Linked DNA regions of Drosophila melanogaster. The protein of the gene in region 1 interacts with the protein of each later gene in a pairwise test. Each region holds a gene or a part of one and is shown in the gene's direction. Other genes may lie near its edges.

Evidence for each region.
Region 2: the proteins of d4 (region 1) and eg interact in a two-hybrid assay, tested with the Drosophila melanogaster proteins (one large-scale study listed by BioGRID).
Region 3: the proteins of d4 (region 1) and Lpt interact in a two-hybrid assay, tested with the Drosophila melanogaster proteins (one large-scale study listed by BioGRID).
Region 4: the proteins of d4 (region 1) and Pph13 interact in a two-hybrid assay, tested with the Drosophila melanogaster proteins (one large-scale study listed by BioGRID).

What each region holds. Positions count from the first base shown.
Region 1 is NT_033778.4:5,292,420-5,296,505, forward strand, and holds d4 (d4), read left to right. Parts: upstream 1-1,643; 5' UTR 1,644-1,845; coding exon 1,846-2,293; intron 2,294-2,377; coding exon 2,378-2,644; intron 2,645-2,696; coding exon 2,697-3,475; 3' UTR 3,476-3,546; downstream 3,547-4,086.
Region 2 is NT_037436.4:21,806,779-21,811,712, forward strand, and holds the start of eg (eagle), read left to right. Parts: upstream 1-1,924; 5' UTR 1,925-2,026; intron 2,027-2,060; exon of another isoform or gene 2,061-2,459; intron 2,460-4,934.
Region 3 is NT_033778.4:23,896,725-23,904,184, forward strand, and holds Lpt (lost PHDs of trr), read left to right. Parts: upstream 1-1,836; 5' UTR 1,837-1,945; coding exon 1,946-2,540; intron 2,541-2,599; coding exon 2,600-2,722; intron 2,723-2,786; coding exon 2,787-2,956; intron 2,957-3,019; coding exon 3,020-3,210; intron 3,211-3,267; coding exon 3,268-5,231; intron 5,232-5,295; coding exon 5,296-5,440; intron 5,441-5,507; coding exon 5,508-5,806; intron 5,807-5,867; coding exon 5,868-6,176; intron 6,177-6,234; coding exon 6,235-6,887; 3' UTR 6,888-6,937; downstream 6,938-7,460. Other genes in the region: CG5339 (uncharacterized protein), read right to left, coding at 394-933, 991-1,275, 1,331-1,423; CG13562 (uncharacterized protein), read left to right, coding at 7,105-7,246, 7,311-7,460.
Region 4 is NT_033779.5:575,656-580,066, forward strand, and holds Pph13 (PvuII-PstI homology 13), read left to right. Parts: upstream 1-1,830; 5' UTR 1,831-2,337; coding exon 2,338-2,378; intron 2,379-2,499; coding exon 2,500-2,765; intron 2,766-2,828; coding exon 2,829-3,595; 3' UTR 3,596-3,894; downstream 3,895-4,411. Other genes in the region: Ptth (prothoracicotropic hormone), read right to left, coding at 122-367, 426-749, 859-945.

The sequences.
Region 1 (4,086 bases):
AGAATTTGAAGATCAGTCTGATTCGGGAGGATTAAAAGAACGGTTTATTAGTGTATAAATAGATAACAATAAGTGTCTTGTAATAAAGTGATAAGTTGAAAAGTTTAACACCAATAAAAATACTAAAAAATAAAAAATTATTTTTTAAAATAATTTATACCGCAAAAAGTTAATTTACATATGTGAGGTTTGAGGCCAAAATTTTTTTCGGCTGCTTTTCATGGCGGGCCCCTGTGGTTGGCTAACTCTTTAGCGTGGAACTCTGAGGTGCTTAAAAATACCGTTTTTTCATTTTCACGGTACTGCACATAGAATTTTGTTTGTTTTCGTGCCTGCCTTCGTCCAGCGTTCCGCCTTTTATACACTCGTTGAAAGTATCCAAGCCAAAATCCCGCCATTCTGGTCTCGATCAGTACTTTCCACGGATACAGACGATTTTCCGATTATTATCGCTACATTTTGTTGCCCAATAAATGATCCTGGCAACTTTTTAATATACACTTACTGGTACGAGCGTCCAAGAATAATCCTGATCTATAATTCTTAATTTATCAGATCGGACACGTTTACTTTTTTTTCGCATATCGATAGAAATTTACAAAACTAACGGAAAAATATACAAATATCAAAACATTTTTTTAATATATTAGCCTGGCAGTCTTAAGCAGTTTGTGAATGCTTCTGGATCTGCATGCTTAATCTCAACCTTATAGCTTTAATAGTTCCTGAGCTTTCGACGTTCATGCGGACGGACATGGCCAATTCAACTCGGCTATTAATCGGATCAAGAATATATATACTTTATGTGATCAGAAACCGTTCCTTCGGGTTGTTACCTATTTTTTAACGAATCCAGTGTACCCTTTTAGTCTACGAGTAGCGGGTTTAGAAATGGAGCAGATGGTATCCTTGTCAAGGAAGTTTGCGGTACAATTTAATGAGATCCAACGCCTATGGTTTAACTTCTGGCGAATGATTGATCTTTAATAAATTTATATCTAATGTATACAGACTTTAAAACTTCGATTTAACTATCGACCCCTGCGGTGTTGATTTCGTGTTTTAAATGTTTTTGTATTTGTTTTAATACACTTGCTATACATCTACATCAAAAAATTCAAATAGAATTGTCAAATTCAAAACGACTGAATAAATTTCACCAGTGTGAATAGAAATAAAGAAGTGGTTTTCATGAAGAGGGTTATGTTTATCATTTTCATCAATATGGCTAAATTGGATAAATAACATATATTCTTAAAAAAAATTTTGAATAACTATTTAAAAGTCAAACTCAGTACATTTTGAACATGACTAATTCGAGACGATATGACCAGCCGTTAAGCATTAAGAGACTTTCACACTCCGAAAATTCTCCTTCAATGCGATAAAAATTCGGAATTAAAAAATATAGCATCAATGGTATAAAAACAAAAAAAAATAAATAAATTCTTTTAATGCAATGTTTATTTCTTAGCACTGGATCAAGAACTTTTGCTACAGAACTTATTGTTAATGTTAACTTATTGTTACGTATCAAGAAGTTGTGAATTGCGCATTAGGGAGCACTTGTGGAAATAACTTATTATAACTATGGTCGAGAACTTTGATATACATTTTGTATCTATTTTAAAATAGAAATACGTTCACACCTTTTCTAAATATTTAATTTTGTACTTCTTGCCTAGTGCCCCATAACAATTCTATATTTTGTTATTTGTATCAGCTTGAATTGTGTGTGAAGAAACATAAATTTTATCAATGACAAAAAAATATGTTGACAATTTAGCTCTTTAGTTTAGCTATTGCTTAACCAAATAATTCCTGCGGCTACCACTCGGCATCAACATGGCTTCCAAATCTGCGTACGAAAAAACTTTGGTAGTAAACATTGCCAATTTTGAAAAAATTCAGAACTTTTTAAATGACAAGGAAAAGTACAAGGAGATTCTAGAAAACAGCGAGAATTTCAACACTCGTCTATGCATTGAACGTCGACTTCGCATGCCATTCCTCGATCCCCAGACAGGTGTCGCACAGACACATTGCTCCCTCTTTATGAAAAAAAAACAGCGAATGCCAGGTCTTCGACATGGTCAGATATACACTTATCCATCGTCTCGGTGGCGCAAACCAAAACGTCAGTACTTACTTAACCCGAATCAAAGTTTCCGAGCCTATCAGTATCGCGAGCACAACCTTCAGCACTCCCACCATCAAACGCATCAGCATCACCATCATATACCTTCGTCTGGCGTTGCTGTACCACAAAATCCTCACTTAGCTGAAAGCGCAGGTAAAAAATTGCAGCTTATCGTCGGATGAAAGTCAATATTTTATACATCTGACATTTATATTTATTATGGGTTTTTATTTACAGCCATTGCTGCTACGGATGGCAACTCCATGGGAGCATCAGGAGATAATGATAGTAAGGACTCACATGCAAACGTCGAAAAAGAATGGTTCCACGATGAAATGGACACATCACATTTTCATCATGGCGATGAATTTGAGGATGACTTTGATTCAGATAACGATTTTGATGAGTCTTACACCAGCCGGGGCAAACGCAAAAAGTGTTCGCGTCCTAGACGAACAAATGCAAACGTAGAGGGTACTCCCAAACGGGGACGTAAAGGTGGTGGTGAGTACAAGTTTATTAAGCTGATGAATTGTAAACGTTATTGATACCCTAGGCAATCGTCGAAAGAACGCCGTTGAGGGAGAATCTGATCGAAAACGTAGAGCCGGTGGAAATAGTGCAAATACATCCGCAGCCGCAGCGGCAGCTGCCGCCGCTGTCGCACATGCAGCATGTACTGCAGCTGCTGTCGCTAGCACTGGGCTCTATGCATCTCATTCCAACTCAGCTTCGCCTATTCCCATAAATGACGACAATTCACAGTCAGGACTCATACTGCCAACAAACATATCGTCGTCGTACGATAAGACTTCAAGCGATGCTGGAGCTTCCAATGACTCAATTCCCCTAGCAACAATGGTTGCCATAAACGCGGGCCTGACAACCTCAAATGTTTGCAATGCGCATCCGGTGCAAACAGGAACAAATCAAACGGTGTTTGCTACTGGTAATAAGGTCAAACAACGTGTAGAACGTGACATAGCGCAACCATCACCTTATTGTGACTTTTGTCTGGGAGATCAACGAGAAAATAAAAAAACCAATATGCCCGAAGAGCTAGTATCGTGCTCGGACTGTGGTCGTTCCGGTCATCCATCGTGTCTGCAGTTCACGGCAAATATGATTATATCGGTAAAACGTTATCGTTGGCAATGCATTGAATGCAAGTACTGCTCCATCTGTGGGACCTCTGATAATGACGATCAACTTTTATTTTGTGACGATTGTGACCGGGGATACCATATGTACTGCCTGTCACCACCGCTTGTGACTCCACCAGAGGGTTCTTGGAGCTGCAAGCTATGCATGGAGGAGTTCCACAAGATTAAATAAGCTAATAAGCTACATTAATAATTCACCAATTATAAGTTAATCTTCTCATAAATATAAAAAACGTACATTTTACTTGGTTTGTTGAATTTTTTGGTCTTCTATTTTTCTTTTTATGCGCCTGTATGGGTTTTATCAGTTTTGGTTTAAGTAACCTAATTAATTTTTACACAGGTAAAGACACTTGACTAGCAACATATATCGAGAGTTCAATTGATAAAAATTATATATATATTATTGTGTAGTTTGGCGAAATTAAAGTCTGCTAATTTAATCCTCGCTATTTTTATTTTTTATTATATTTTATAAATGTTTCTTCTGTGTGCTTTTTGAATTACAAAGTGGCCAAATTAAAAGGAAATATAACCGTATAACGATTAGATTCGTTGAAAAGTATGTAACAGGCAGAAGAACGCGTTTCCGAATGTATAAGGTATATATATATGTTCTTGATCAGGATCATAGCGAATCGATCATGAACTATAAAAGCGCAAGTTTGTTGACCCATATTTTATTGTTTGTCTTGTTAATTTCTGTAGGTATTCCAAAAAACACTTTGGCCACGCCCTTCCTTTAACCATCAAAACGCCCGAAAACGTTGATTTAGAGCTTAT
Region 2 (4,934 bases), on another chromosome or scaffold:
CTTCAAGTGGCCACAATTTGAGGCAGATTGCGCTCTAATAAATATGGGCAGCCATCTAAGCTAATGCCCCAACTCATCACCGAGTTGAGAGATGAGCACGCAAGCAGGCGAGATACGCATGCGCCCGTTGCCAAGGCCCAAACTTAATTAAAAATTTGGAGAGAGCGGAGGGAAAATTTCAGATTGCCCACGAGCTGAAGAAATTTTAATATGACGACCAAATTGCACCGCAGCAGCTCCAGGAGCTGCATCGCCACTTGGCAGATTATGACGACAACTATACTGACAGGCAGAGCCAGAGGAAACTACTCCAAGAAACTAGCCAGATTCAGTTGCAGTCGCAATCGGAGTCTCCGTTCCAGTTCATGGCTAAATGCTTTTGGCTGTGATAAATTACACGTCGTTTTAGAGTGTTGCGCTTCCTTGTTACTCCGTCAAGTGGTGTTGACACGGCCGCGGCGAATGCAGAGTATTAAACGATCTCCGCCGTGGCACTCTTCTTCCGTCCAGTGGTGTTATTAAAATGAAATCATCATCATCACCAAGTGACAGAAGCCGGGAGTCTGAGCCTGAGCCTGAGCCTGAGTCTAAGTCTGAGCTGAGATGAGTTGAGATGGAGGGACAGACAACGACTGGTCAAATGCCCGGGGATCACTTTAGTGGGCATCTCGGCGCACGAAGGCAGTCATCTGATCATGCTTATGACAGGAGAATTCAATTAGACATATGGAAACGCGTTGATTGTTCCACTGGCAATTTTGCGCCTGGTGGCAATCCGATTTAAGCAGCACAGAACTAGCATTGATTATTTTGCAATTGTTGTTGAAGTACCGTATCGAATGTATTTAAATGGATACCATTTAGCCCTAATAAAATTGATTCCTTGTTAAACAATCTCATGCAACTTTTATTTTATTTACGCTCACAAGAATATAGCTTTATATATACCATTAGTGGCAGAATTTTGTATTCAACCTAAAAGAATTCTGCAGTGCCCCCAGATAGAATAAACCAACATCTATGCATATGTTTTCCATGTGGTCATCTCCAATCGTTATCAATCCGACAAAGATTCACATAAAAATATTTAAATATACGAAAGACTAGGGAGGCGAACTTGTTTTCTCCATTTTGCAGGTCAAGCCACAAATAACCTCTGATGTTTTCTTGGTTTCTCCCAATGTTTGTTTACACTGATCGCCGGGCATTAAGTGCCCACCTCCTTGCCACATTAGTCGTCCAATACGAGTTCAATTGGATGCACATGCACAACGAAGCAAACCAGGGCCAACACTCTCGCGGCCAATACACTCAAATGATAACAGTACCGTGTGTAGAGTCAAACGGGGGTAAAAAGACATCAGCCAACAGCCAACCGCATCGACACAGTATTCAATGGAAACGAACGAAACGCTTGGAGATCGTGCCGGTGCCAACAGCCAACCACAGTTCAGCTCTCAGAAGATGCGACGCTTTAACATTTACGGAGAGCGGAGAGTCGCGAACCGAGCTGGAAACGTACAGCAAACATGTTCGAAGCGAGGTCGGTAGCAGGGTGCACTTGGAGAAAAATGTTAGCACTCTTAATATACATAAATGCGTTTTGACTTATTTCAGTTAGCGTTGTAGAAACAAAAAACTGCATTTTTTCAGGGTACTAACTTGTCAATAATATCTTTAATATATTATTTAATAATATATATTTAATATAATTGTTTTAAAATTCTCCCGAAAATAACAAATCTTGTTTCGTTAACAGTTCAGTCAACAGATCTTACCGCCATAACATTGCTGTTAAACCGGCAGAACGGAGCACGCGCACCATTCGCCACAGCAGCTGTTTGCCAAACAGGATTTCCTGCAGCGACGGCCGCCGATTAACAGTTAAGTTTCGCCGTGCCCTGCCACTGTTGCAAACGCACGCACACAATCTAGCGACGCGTGCGCTTTGTTGTCTTGTTGCCGCTGCTGTTGCTGTTAGTGCTGCTGTTCGTGCTGCCGCGCTGCAGATGCTGCTGCTGCTGGGGTAAGATGATCTTTGAGGCCAGGGCCGCGCTGCCAGTTCGAGTCTGTTTGGCGCTCAGAACGACGGCGACGATTTAGTCTCGGATGGACGCTACGCTGCCAAGCACCGTCAGTCAGGCTTTCGCTGTTCTCTCGCTCTCGCAATCGCATTATATCCGACCGATCGCGAAGTTTTTCGGCACTATGTGCGCCACGTGATTGCTGAAATCTCCTTCGAAAGCCGTCGCTATATCATCAGCGATAATTCGGATTTAAGGTGTCATGTGAAGAGTGTGTTTGATATAATCAGTTGATTTTCATTCAAACGTATCCCAGTGTGTGAAGTTAAAAAAAAAACTGGAAAAATTAACATCTAAAGAGGAAAAAATAAATAAATAGTGAGTTGGTAAAAACATCGAATTTATGCTGTTGTGGAAATATATGATCTGGAAAAGGTAAGATTTTGTTGTATATGAGCTTATGCTATTAAAAAATGGCTAAGTCTCCCTGCTGACAAACAAAACATATTAAGAGAATAAATAAAACATTTATTCATTGAATTAATGAGACAACAACAAGTTGAGATGCTGGACACATAATTCAAACGCTAAAACAATAGATAAATACAAGCAATATATATATTAAAGGCTTAATTGAATAAAAACCATTTTGCATAATTTCCATAAATTTGTCGGATGGTTGTTGTAAGTCAAAATAAATCGCAAATAAAAGATTAATACCGAAAACAATTGCATTATAAAAACCAAACCAATTAAAGACTGAAATTATACAATTTAATAATATTTTTAGCAATAATTGAAATACTTAGTACAAACTATTAAAATCAAAACAAAAAACCAACAATAAAAAGACAAATCTGTTGCGAAGAAATGGCCCAACTATCCCCAGCTATCAAGGACCAAGCTTAACTCCCATGAGTTCGTACTCACACCACTAAGGAGGACCAAGGAGAACCAGAAAAAGTGTAATGGTGAAGACAAAAGAAGCTCATTGACATGCTCATTAATAATGTTATTGCCTTTTGTGCGATAAGTGTCAAGAAATTTCTACAATAGGGGCTGCGAATGGACAAAGATGGGAGATATTCAAACATTTAATTGTCCAACTGCTGTCGGCAATCAAGCAGAAAAGGGCCAGGGGCAGCCTGAAGCGACTGGATCGTGGATCCTCGATCGCGAAGGAAGAAGGATCAAGGATGGAGGATGGAGGATGGAGGATGGAGGATGGAGGATGGAGGATGGAGGATGGAGGATGGAGGATCGCAGATCAAGAATTGCGGAAGCAGACAATTCAAACTAGAGCGTGTGACTGCTGAGTGGATTTGCATACTGCGAATGTCCGTCTCCAGTGGTTGGCAGGGCTAATAATAAAGCATATTACCGGCAATTGTGCGCGAGATGGAAGGCGATTCGGGTGTAGGAAGGGTTTGGGCTTGGGTTTGGGTTTGGGTTAGGGCTTGGACTTGGATTTGGATTGCAGATTGTGTCAATGCTCCGGGGTTCGGTTCAGTGGGCTGTGTTCTTGATTCTTGTTCTATTTTGTAGCGGCTTCAAAATATTTGAGACAATCGTGGTTTGCTTGTTTGAACACCTTTTCTCCCTCTGTTGCCTTTATCAGATTTGGCATTGTCCATCATTTTGTTTGCTTTAAAGGACACATTTTTTTGGGACCTTGTTTATTATTCCTATTGAGAGAAGTCCAACGTTCTGCCCACTTTTTTTCAGCTCTGTCAACAGCGAGTTGATGAGCTTGTTGAGAATGTGGCAGCGACCAACTGATCTGGTTCTTATTGTCTAAGCCGCTCTGAACTTGTCCCCATCGAGTTCATCTGCAGATCTCCATAGATTAGATCCGAACAATCTCCTCCACTTGGCTTGCGATCAATATACAGTTGTAGTTTCTGTAGCAGTTTAGGTTTCTAATTAATTGTCTGTTTCTGCCCAATGTGTAACATTAATCTTGGCTTAATCGATAAGTCTGACAGCCAAGATCGTTCCTATATCTGGTCTGATCTGTTCGGTTCGATATACACTCAGAAATGAACAATGGGGATTCTGTTTTTAAATTTGAAAGGAACCTGCAGAGTCAAATATTTCGAATTGGCACAACCAAAGACACTAGAATGTCTTTGGCACAACTCTCGTCTACTCATTGTTTTCCCACAAATCGAACTGGCCATCGGACCTAAGCATTGCATTCACCTTAAATTTGGGCTCGGCTTGAGGACTTGTAATTAGCTCGAAGCATGGGAATTATGTACTCCTCCATGACATCTACTACTTCTATGCGCTGACTTAAAGGGGTCCTAAAGATGCCCCAAGAACAAGACTCTCAAATATGCGCCCGGTTACGTGGATCAGTGGCCTTGGTCGTTGTCGTCGTGATAAAGCCAAAAAGATTGAGATGCCGCCTGCGGATAGGGATCTGCAAGTTTATAGCTCGAGCGTGCCGCTCAATTGGATTTCAATCGGGTTTCTCAATAAGGATCGAAATGATTTTTGACTTTTTGGTTCTTTATCTACGAAGTTCAGGTACGGCGAGATGTATTGCAATTTACAGCACTTCTATGCATATTAAGTGCATAAATATTTAGTTTTATGAGTGCTTATTTATGAAAGCAGTGCAGCAGTAATATAGGTTGTTCCCAATGTCGAAGGTAAATGCACCTATTTGATGTAATTATACTCATTTTTCGGCTAACACGATGCTTATGAATCCATTTCCCCAAAACTCCTCCATTCAGAGATCTTCTTTCTAGCTGAGTGCAATCTGGCTTACCACTCCAGCTCCACCACGAACTGCGGTTCTGAGTCTTTGGGACCCAGAGATGGAAGATCTCCTCGATGATTTTCCTGCTTTCTGAAAAAGTGCACCGCTGTGCCGAAAATTGTCACGGTTTCGCGGTCGAT
Region 3 (7,460 bases), about 19 Mb from region 1:
TTTAGTACACATAATACCTTCGACAATACTGACATTTGTTATTAAACAGCTGCTCGTCAAATACATATTCTAAGTTACCTGATTACTGCCACAAGTATCAAGTTAGATGCATTAAAACTACCCAAGACTGTAGAATAACTACAATTAGTTGATAATATCGAGAACAGTATTCAGTTTCGAACGCGGCTTTGAATGTCGCCCTTTAATTTAAACATGTTTGTTTATCCATTTACATTTTTGGTAATTCTTTAAGAATAAATTGTTTAACTAGTTGATAGCCTACATTTGTAATAAGTATAAATGCTCAGTTTCTCAATGCAGCCACTTAACTCTACGAGGAAAACGGTTACAATAACTTCAGAAGGGTTCTTTTTAGGATGTGGAAGCTTTGATCTAGAATGTCTTCTTGGAAATGACAACAATTAAATCGATTAACCAATAGAACGACTGGTGGAGATCACCCTCGCACAAGTACGGCGCCTTGGTCCATGCCTCCACGCGGTAGCCACAGTTCTCCAGCAGCTCCATAAACCTGGCCGCCTCCTCCTCGAACGACGCCTGTCGCCCGTTGTTCTCCAGCAGCGGGCGCAGCGGCAGATGCGAGGTATTCGTCTCCACGTAGTGCATGTAGGGAAGTACTAAGGCCACAACTGCTCGACCATTGGGAGCTAGTGCCAGGTGAATGTCCTCGAGCAGCTTGAATGAATCGAAGCAGCGGTCCAATACGTTGAGGCACAGAATCAATTCCAGGTTCTGCAGACCGTCTATCTCGGTGATTACGTTGAAGTTCAGCTTCTTCAGCCGATCGCGCATGGTCCAACTGGCCTCGGTGGCGAAGACCCGCAGCCCGGCACTTCCGCTCAGCTCGGAAACGGTGTTGGCCACGCGCAGCGAAATCTCACCGTCCCCGGCTCCGATATCCAGCAACGTGACCTACGATATGATGGCAGATGAGTAGTGGTCAAGACTAAAGGCTTTTACTCATCTTACAGGTTCTTGACCGCTGGCAGGCTGAAAGCCGCCTGCTACTAGCAGCTTGCGAAACTGTTCCTCGGACAGTATGAACATGGAGCCGCGCTTCAGGAACCCGTTGATGTCCGTCTGGGTCATGAAGAACTGCAGGATTGAGCGAGCCAGGGCGTGCCACAAGTGGGTCCAGATGTTTGCCGAAAGCGCCTTGGTGCGCTCCAGCCAGCTCACGGTGGTGGCATCCGGCTCGAGCGGCACGAACTTGGACTGGAATCTCGGCGGCAGCTCGTGGTTCAGGCAGTACCACTGAAATGCATCCAGAATTTAGGAAAAATCATATTGTTTCGGGATTTCGAGTTACCTTCCGAGTGTCTATGTCCTCCAGAGAGTTGTCGTTGTGGAATTTGGCGTGGATTACCCTGGCCAGGGTGCCGCGGGGACGATACACAGCCATGCTAACAGAATAGTCTATAATTGTGCTTTTATTTACATTTTCTACTTCTGTGTGTTTAACTTAGTTGTGCCATCATTTTTCCAGTTTGAAGAACTGGAGTACGGTATTTTTCCAGGGCTGGATTGCAGAGTTGCACTTTGATCAGCTGAATGCGATTGGTAAAGGTATATCGATATGTAGGCGTGACAGCCTAATGTAAGTGTATTATTATTTATAATGTATAATTTCAGAAATTAATTAATTAATTTGTAGCCGCATAAAAAAAATTAAAATATGATGTTATATTTGATTTGCCATTTAAAAGTATAAATACTTTGTAATATAAGGAAGACTTTTATATTTATATCTAATAATTGTACTACTCGCTCTGCAAACGAACGCACATCGTTCTCGACAACATTGACGCCTGTTCGATAACATTGGGGCGCGATGCACGTTGACATTTTATTTAGCTGTCGAGTAATGTATACAAAATAAGCGGCGGCTATTTTTTGTTATTTTAATGAAACGCATCAATCCGCGATGAGCACGAACGTTGTTGTGAGCATGGAGGAGAAGGCGGTGGCCGACGACCTGCCGTACTTCCCGGAGAAGTTTCCGGGCAAGGTGTGCTGTTTATGCAATCTCGGCGAGAAGAGTGCCTTGGGCCAGGGCGAGATTCTACAACTGAAGGCGCCCGCGCCCGCCGAGATCAAGGATAAATATCCGACGGATCGGCTGAGGGAGGACGGATCCAGGCTGTTATACGGGCCTAAGCAGGCCGCTTCTAGTTCGGGCGATTGTCACTACGAGCTGGACAAGATTGGACAGCCGGACGTCGTGCATCCCGCCGAATTTCTTGACGAGGGGTTCGTCTACGTGCACCGCATGTGCATCATGTGGTCGCTGCGCAAAAGTCAGATAAGCGATGCAGATGGCGCGTACTTTGCCACCCACTTCGCGGAGTTCCTGGAGCAAAAGTGCAACTTTTGTGGACGCTACGGGGCCTCCATCAACTGCAAGATGAACTGCCGCCAGGTGCACCATTGGCCGTGTGCCGCCGCTGCTGGGTGCCTTCTGATCCTCGAGAGCTTTACGGTCTTCTGCACGGAACATTTGAGCCAGGTGCCTGTGATATGTAAGTGATTCTTGGGCAGCAAACTCTCACAGAAACTAATGGAAACAAATGACTTACAGGCAGCGACAATAATGTGGAGTGTCTGTCCTGCTCCTCGCTGGGGGATCTGTCCAAGCTGATCATGTGTAGTACCTGCGGAGACCACTTTCATTCGACCTGCATTGGTCTGGCCAATTTGCCGGGTAACTACTGTCAAGTACCATCGTACCATTGGTTTACATGTTTACATGTTTAATGCTTCCATAGATACGCGTTCTGGGTGGAACTGCGCCCGTTGCACAAAATGCCAGATTTGCAGGCAGCAAGACTCGAACGACACCAAGTACGTTAAGTGTGAGCAATGCCAGAAGACTTACCACGCCTCCTGCTTGCGACCAGTTATCTCAGCCATCCCCAAATATGGCTGGAAGTGCAATGTAAGCAGATATTGACGGATATTAAGTGTTATCCAATACTTATGGTATTTATGTTCCTTCTAGCGCTGTCGCGTCTGTACGGATTGTGGTTCAAGAACTCCTGGCGGCGGCAGCTCCTCCCGCTGGCATAGCCACTACACAATCTGCGATTCGTGCTATCAGCAGCGGAACAAGGGCTTTTCCTGCCCGATTTGCCAGAAAGCGTACAGGGCAGCATCGCACAAGGAAATGGTCAAGTGCAGCTGGTGCAACAAGTACGTTTCACTCGCTTCTGCCTGATTAGTCTTGCTTATTATATGGATTCGTTTCAGATTTGTGCACAGTACGTGTGACGAAGAGGCGGATTTAACGGCCTACCACAAGAAGAAGGAGCAAAACCCAGATTACGACTACGTGTGTCCGAATTGCAAGAGTAATTCGTCGGGCCCGGGATCATCCCAACAGACAATCGACTCGATCGTGCTGTCCGCCATGGATTCGTCGTCGGAGCAACTGAGCCTCAAGGAAATCGAACTTGACCCGCTGGAGGGCAAACCCACAATGGATCCATCGAGCGATGAGCTCCACAAGCTACCCACCGGCAAGAAAAAAGTGTGCCTTACGAGTGTTCGCGGTAGAAGCGGAAAGTTCGTCCTACACCGCATGGGTGTGATGTCGCAGATCAACAAGAAACGCAGCACCCGAGGCAAGGGGCGCCAGCTTGCGCTGCCCACCATCTCGAGCGATCGCTGCCTGAGTCGCAGCATGGAAACAGATCTGACCAGCGACAAAAAGCTGCTGCTCTGCTCGGCGCGGGATAAGTTTATCCAAGCGCAAGACATCTGCGTAATGTGCGGCTCGCTGGGCATTGAGAGCGATTCCGTGATGATCACCTGCGCACAGTGCGGCCAATGCTATCATCCGTACTGCGCCGGCGTGAAGCCTTCGCGAGGCATCCTGCAGAAGGGTTGGCGATGCCTGGACTGCACAGTGTGCGAGGGATGTGGCAAGAAGAACGACGAGGCGCGCCTGCTCCTGTGCGACGAGTGCGACATTTCGTATCACATTTACTGTGTGAATCCTCCGCTGGAAACCGTGCCCACGGGCAACTGGAAGTGCTCGTTCTGTACACTGTGCCAGAAATGCGGTCGCAATCCCACCGAGAAGAGCGAGTTCGGGGACTCCAACATGCTCGAGTGCCCATCCTGCACCAGCCAATCCTCGTGTCCCGTCTGCAAAGTCTCGTACAGCAACGGCGAGATGATCATCCAGTGCGAGCACTGCGAGCTATGGGCGCACTTCCACTGCGACTCTGTCAATGCCCAGCTGACCATTGACCACTACGACAACAATGTGTACAAGTGTTTCAAGTGCCGCTGCTCGACGAGGAGCACTAACTCCCTGGCGGATGCCAAGTTTGGTAACGAGGATTCGCTGGCCATAACTCCCCAGGGCAGCAAACCATTTGTGCACATCACAGCCTCCTCCGGGCCGTCTTTCGATTCTAAGAGTGGTGCCGAGCGAAATCATCCTACCTTATCCGGCGATATGCCCGAGTCTGCTCCAGAAGCGCTCCACTGGATTGACGGAGTGTGCCTGAGCGAAAGCGGATTGGGCATGATCAAGTCATTGTCCACGGAGATCAAACGCAAGCGCAAAATGCGACAAGCCCTCGGCAATGGCAAGGATGGACAATTGGAGGCCGCCGCCGAGGAAGCGCTGGAAAAGTACAAAGACGGCATGGTCTGGGATGGGACGGAGAACGCTATTCCCGAGGGTTTCACCATCTCCATTAACGACGAGGGAGTGAACATATTACGCAAGAAGCGACAGCGCAATCTGCAGAAGCTGGGCATTGGTGGATTCTCCGTTCGCAACCGAGGTCTCAAGAAGGACAGCGAGGAGACGACGGCCGTTGACCAAATAAATTCCCTTATGACCATGGACAAAAAGAAGAAAATCATACGAAAGAAGCAGAAGAACAAGCTGATTGAAGCCTATCCCGTGTACTTGCAAGAGGCCTTCTTCGGAAAACCTCTGCTGGAAGGTGGAGAGCTTGTCATGGCCGATACAGATTCCTCTGACGAAATTGATGCGTCCATGAAGGTTTACTTCACGCGGCCCGAGGGCAAGAGTCCTGCCAACCAGGACACACTGGCGGTGAACAAGAGTCCAGCGAAGACCGTGAAGAAAGTTAAAGCTGAGTTGAAAACTGAGAACAAAACTGTTTTCATTCAGCAAATGCCCATGGGAATCCAGAACAAAAACGGAACGACGCCAGTGTCTAATGTTTTTGGTAAATGTTTAACCAACCCACTGACCACTTTATTCCCAGGTTGTATCGTTTACCATTTTTGCAGATCCCTTGCAAGCGGAGATTTCGAACACTGTCTTTGCTAACCGGCATCCTTTGGATGCGTTGGCTTCACCAAATGTTCCGGAACTGGACATGGCTAACTCTGTTAGTACGGTTCCATCAGCTGAAGTCATTGAAAAACCAATGCGGTGAGCCTCATGTCCATATGCCAGTCTATTCTAAGCTTATTAATTTGTTCTTTTTTCTTTCTCAAAGGGAATCACCTGCGGTCCTGGTCGACAGTTTCATGGTCCCCAACCAGTTGCCACAGGAACAGAAGTTTCACAATCAGCTATATTTGGGCGGAAATACTTTGGTTAATCCCGCCCAGCAGCTTCAGTTCCGTCAGCAGGCACCACAAAATGCCAATAAGCAGAATATGCAAACTATAATGAGCCAAGTCGTTTTGCAAACCGAAAAGAGACCAGAGGAGGAGCAGAAGGTTGTGGAGCCCGTGACGGAAACCCTGAACGCTGGCACTCAAAAGACGGCGGAGAAAATGCGCAAGGATGAGGGTATGAGGGTGCATTTAAATAGTGTAGGATTCAAATGCTCATCACCCCATTTGTTTTGCAGATCTTGGGCTCATGGCCACCATTTCGGCCGTGCTGTATGCCAATACTGAGCATCCCAACCTGAAGGAGTTGTTTCCGATTTGGAACGACCGCTGCAAGCAGATTCTGAAGAGGTGGCGCTCGCTGTGCAACGAGAAGAAGGCGCCGTTCTTGCAGAAGGCCAAGGACAATCGCTCAGCACTGCGGCAGAGGCGGGAACAGAACAAAATACCTATGCCACCGAAACCACAGAAGCAGGAGGAAATGGGAAGAGTGTGGAAACAACCGCCCAAGCTGAAGGAAGACCAGCCGAACATGTTTGTCACGTACAGTAAGTGCTGCAGCTCAAGACTTGTTTTAGTTGCTCTAACCCTTGTTTTTTCGTCTAGATGGAAACGCCTACGATATGGGCAACTATGTTGGTGGCTCGGCGCAGGCAGCGTCCAATAATCCCAATCCGCATCACGTGATGCCGAACGTTAACGATAATCTGGTGATTAAGGCCACGATGCAAAGGACTCAGGTGCACACGACAGCAGCCAGCACCTTGAAAATGACCACCGTGGACAATAGGCTGGAGTTGAACACGGCGGTGTACGGCACGGAACCCATTGGCGACAAGAAGCTCAGGAACCTGCTGCAGAAGAACAGCACGGAGCCGATGCTCATGGGGGCCAACTCGGACTTGTTCTTGGGCAACGATGTAATGCGGCTGGGAATGATGCAGAACACACCCATTACGCAGAACAATCCCATGCTGAGCATAAGTGGAAAATCTCAGCCATCTGAAGGCAGGTCCTTGGAGCAGGATGTGAAGTTGGGCGAGCCGCAGGAGGCAACCTCTTCCGCCGTGGAGTTGGAGAATGTCGGATTCAGCGACCTTCTGGGAGGACTCGGCGAGGGCGACGACGACGACCTACTCAAGTCGCTCACTTCCGAAATGGGAGACGACTTCAATATCCTGGAGTACGCGGACCCAGAACTGGACGTCAATGTTCTCAACTCCCTAGATTTTGATGACAATGAAAAGTGCTCTACATAGGAGAAGCGGAATCGTTTAAATTGAAATAAAGAAAATGCAATATTTAATAGAAAGCGCCACTTTTGAATGCAGCCTCTTTTGGCGCCAAACCCCATTCTTCATCGATTGCCGTATACCATATCGAATTTGTATCTCTTCGGCACAGAAAACTGGTTTTCTACGCGGTTTGCACTGTTGTTACTTTTTATTTTCAGCTAACCATCCAGATGACCAGATAATGCAGTTGTTCAGTAGTTTCCACTCAATCCTAATTGTTTGCTGTGTTCTCTTAATTGATGGAACGCACTCGAAACTGAATCTTAAATATGCCATTTTGAGGCAAAAGCAAGCAGCAAAGGCAACGCAAAATGACACTTTGGGTATGGATGTGGGAGAAAGTTTCTGCTGGACGAGCGTATCATGTCGATGTTTTTGTTTATGAAGCCCACCAGCAGAGAATCAAATATGATGCCCAGAAGACCATGAAGGTGATGTTCTACAAGAACAACACCAAAACCATGGAGACTTCGGCCTACGACGATGCCTACGATCTCAGTGGCTCGGGTTGCTCGCCCACGGACAAGTTTGCCATAG
Region 4 (4,411 bases), on another chromosome or scaffold:
CCTTAAAAATAACAATCTGTTTCATATCGAATCTCTCCCACAATAAAGCAACTTTGACGTCTTTTTGGCGCTTTAATATACAATTAATTCACATTCACGATAGTTGCTCACATCCTTTCAATCACTTTGTGCAGAAGCAGCCGGCAGTTACGGTGACCGTTTTGAACTGCCAAGGTTGATCCTTGTTCATCCACGAATAGGGGTGATCGGACTGAGAGGTCTGTGCCAGGACCTTTACCTTATATTCCAGTGGCCTGCAATTGGATCCATGCGAGCACTTGGCCAGATCCCGACCAGCGCCCGATTCGCAAACGGCATTCATCAGAAAGCGAGGGAAGTGCAGACCACCCAGATCCACGAGCTCATTCTGGGAATAACAAAATAATTATAAACATCTGACGCGGCTGAATGGTATCCCAACGAACCGTAACTTTGCAGTCGCAGCCTGCGGAATGGACATCATTGCGTTTGGTGGTCACCAGATCCTCATAGAAATCGTTATAGTACATGGGCGGCAGCTGATGGGGCATGACCATCGCCATCTCTGTGGGATGTGGAGTGCTGGGACTGAATCCGAATAGGGCACTGAGCATTTTCGATGTACTGCGATCGGGCTGCTGCTCCTCCGCGCGGTGTTCCAGACTCCTTAGACCCACCATCTCGTCCAAACCTTCATCGCTGGCGTACTGACTGGCGATTCCTTTATTTGTCAGGCTAAGCAGCGCCATTGCCATAATGGAAATGGGCAACTTGGAACGGAAGGGTTTTAAAATGAATTCAGTTCGGAGTATATCCTTGTGCGCCCTCCTTTGTAATTTCGTTTCTATATCTTTCGGCTCTCATCCAGATGAAACTTACCCACGGCATCATGCTCGATCTGTGCCTGACCAGCGCTGTACTCCTTCTGCAGCTCTGGCCAAGGAGTCGCCATACTTTTATATCCATTTAGGACAAAAGCCGCCTCTCGGATTACCTTTTGTGCCAGAGATGAGAGCAGCAGCATCCATTACGGTTCGTCACCTGGACAGGATGGAACAATGGACTCCACAGTTGACACCACAACAATGGCAAGCCATGCCAAGCTCAAGTGGCCCGGCTGATGGGGTTGAGTCCCTCGGCTATTTATACTCCTCTGCTGCTTTCAATGCTTCAATGGGGGAAATGGCTTTAAGGCCTCAAGTGCCGGCAGAGGTGGAGAACTTTGGGCGGTGGGAGTAGCCAAAAGAAGCCCACTGACCCAGACATGTGTGCAGAGGCAAAGGGCAATCCGATCTCCTCCCATCGATAACGTTGACCAGGGTGGGTTTCTGGATTTTTGGTTTCCGAAACGGCTCCGAAACTTTTTCCATAGCATACTTTTGAGTGAGGAGCTGTGGGAAATGCAATTCCGATTGTATTTTACTTGTCGGATTTCCCCCAAATGGATGACATTTCCGTTTCATGGTCTTGTTTAAAGAATATTGTTTTTATAATGTGCAAAGGCAGATGAATGGTAAAAATAGTGGTTTATAGTCTTATGTAGAATTCTTAAACATTTTCCAGCTATGCACATCCTCCGAAGGCACCATGAGTTGCCATAAATTATGAGCTCACTATGTCTCCCACTTGGGCCAGTTTGGGTGAGGAGCACCGCCACTGGCATAACAAGCCCGGCTAGAACGACTGTCCAAGAGGCTAGACCGGGTCAGACCTCTTAGGCACATAGTATATACCCCTGTTCGTAGGGAGCCCGCGAGTGTGCGAGTGCCAGTGGACTGTGGTCGACTTCTACGGCTTCTGTCGACGGACAGCACGCACTGTCACTGTTCCCCGTGGAAATCCAAAATCCTCCTCAGTCGAATTCGCGTCGTCGAGGCAAGAACAGTGCCCGTGCCACAAGGTTGGACATGCACAGCTGGACAATCTGACATCGCTTAGCCATCAGCAGCTACATAGGTTCGAGCAAGGGAAGTCGGGACTTGGAATCGGAATCAGAATAAAAAACCAGGAGCGGAGGAGATGCAGATTCCGCTGGTGGGCGACTTATGCTGAGCTCCGCAGCTGCCTGTCTCCAAAGACTTCATCCGTGCTTTCGCCGTTGTTGTTGTGCAGTTTTTCCGCCGTGGAATTTGTCGAAGCGGAAAAGCGAGAAGAAGCAGCGACGCGAAGCCCTCGAAGTGTCGACGAAAATCGTTAAAAAATAGAAAAACACACGGCGACTATGTCACGACGCGCTTGAAGAGCCCCATCCTCGCTGAGGGAGATATTGAGATTGAGCGGGATCCACACCTCAGTGGCCACTACTCGCCACCCACTCCGCCAACGTCAACGTTCACCAACAGGAAGCTCAGGATTCGCATGGACAAAGGCACAATGAAGCGCAAGCAGCGGAGATACAGGTATAGCAGATACATTCGAAATGTACATATATCGCGGTATAAATCCAAAAACTGGACTAGTTTCATAAGTATCTACTAAAGCTATAGGTGCACTAACACTAGTTTTCCTAATGATCCGCAGAACCACATTTAACACACTGCAACTGCAGGAGCTGGAAAGGGCGTTCCAGCGGACACACTATCCGGACGTGTTTTTCCGAGAGGAGCTGGCCGTGAGGATCGATTTGACGGAGGCGAGGGTGCAGGTGTGGTTCCAGAACCGGCGGGCCAAGTGGCGCAAGCAGGAGAAGATCGGTGGGCTTGGCGGAGATTATAAGGAGGGTGCGTTGGATCTCGACGTGTCCTACGACGACAGCGCCGTCCTGGGCCAACTGGATAGTGCGCTGGGTAAGAAAGGATATCTCTGTTACCTATCAACCCATCGCTAGTAATGACCCATATTGATTTCAGGCGGCGGTGGAACTCTATTGCCGGACACCCCACCGCAATCCTCGAACTCCCTTGATAACGAACTTAAGGCCTCCTACGGCACGGGGGCCATGTCGCCCTCTAGGCTGTCACCGAATATATTTCTCAACCTCAACATTGACCACTTGGGACTGGAGCGGGGTGGCAGTGGCCTCTCCATGGAGTGGTCCACATATCCTCCGCAAACGCAAGCGCAGACACACCCGCAGATGGACTCCGACAATCAGCTCCAGCAGCACCCGCCTCAACAGCATGCATCCGATCCGATTCACGCCGGGAGTTCGAGTCATCACCAGCAGCAGCAGCAGCAGCACCAGCAGGAGCAGCACAATCCCCAGCTTCATCCGGGGCTTGAGTTTGCCGCCTCATTGAGTTTGGACATGACCGATGGCTCCTCCGCCTACGACGAGATGAAGTTTCTCAGCGTGGACGTGGACCAGTTCACGATCGACAGCTTCAAGGCGGACTGCATTCTGAGCATGGAGCAGTCCCAGATGCAGGCCTACGGCGGTCACTCCCAGCTGGTCGGATCATCCAATGAACTGTGCCTGGACGGGATTGGCATGTCCTCCTTTGGCATGGAAGAGGGTGAGCCCAAGTCGCCTCCCTCTCTTTTGGTGCTGGACAAGTCGCTGCCCTCTTTGAGCATAGGCGTGGAAGGAATCGCTGATCTCGTGGAGCAACTGCATCATCACCAGCATGAGGGCGGCCCAGTGGGCGGTGGTGTCATCACTGGCGATGTCATGTGAATCCAACTTAGGCGAATTCTCAGTTTCTCAGCGGTAAACTGAAGTGCGAAACCTGCTCTAGTTATATTCTTGTTTTCTAGTCAATGTTAATGTCTAAGTTCAAGACCCAACAAGGTCGCCACACTTGACTACAAATATTTGGATGGTTAACTTACAAAAATTTTAGTACTAAATACTAGTTTATCTGAAGTTGTATTACTTTAGTCCTGGAAATGTGTCTTGATAAATAGCAAAGTGGTTTACATAAAGAGAACCTGTAAGTTTATAACATTTGAAAACAACGAGAATTGTTGAAAAAGAATATTTTTCGTAGTGTACATTTGTGAATTTCGAAACATTCGAATCGAATCGAAACGAAACGGAACGGAACGGGTCCTTGACTACGAGCACGGGTACCTTTTCTGGCCAGGCTCAGCCATAGCTTCTATGGATTCCGCATGTGTGTGCCAAACAAAGGAACCCCCCCCCCCTACGCCCCTGCCACGTCCCCTACCCTCTGCACACGCCTTATTTGTGGCTCGGATTAGAGGCAAGCTAGTTGTGCGATTTGAATGGATTTCGGCTTCCAGTGCTGTTTGTTCGGCAATAACATTTGCTTTGCTTTTTAACAATTACCAAAGACCGCTCCACGCTCCTCCCTGACCTGCCCACTGGTTGGCTGTAATTTCCATTTACTCCTATTAACGAGGATTTCTGTAGCTCCTGATCCTAAGCATCCTCAACGAACAACTCCTACGCTCCATTAAGTGAAAAGCTCACAGCAGAGATGATAAATATGGTGAAATTTAATGAAATTGTCAGTTAGTTCTAAAGTAC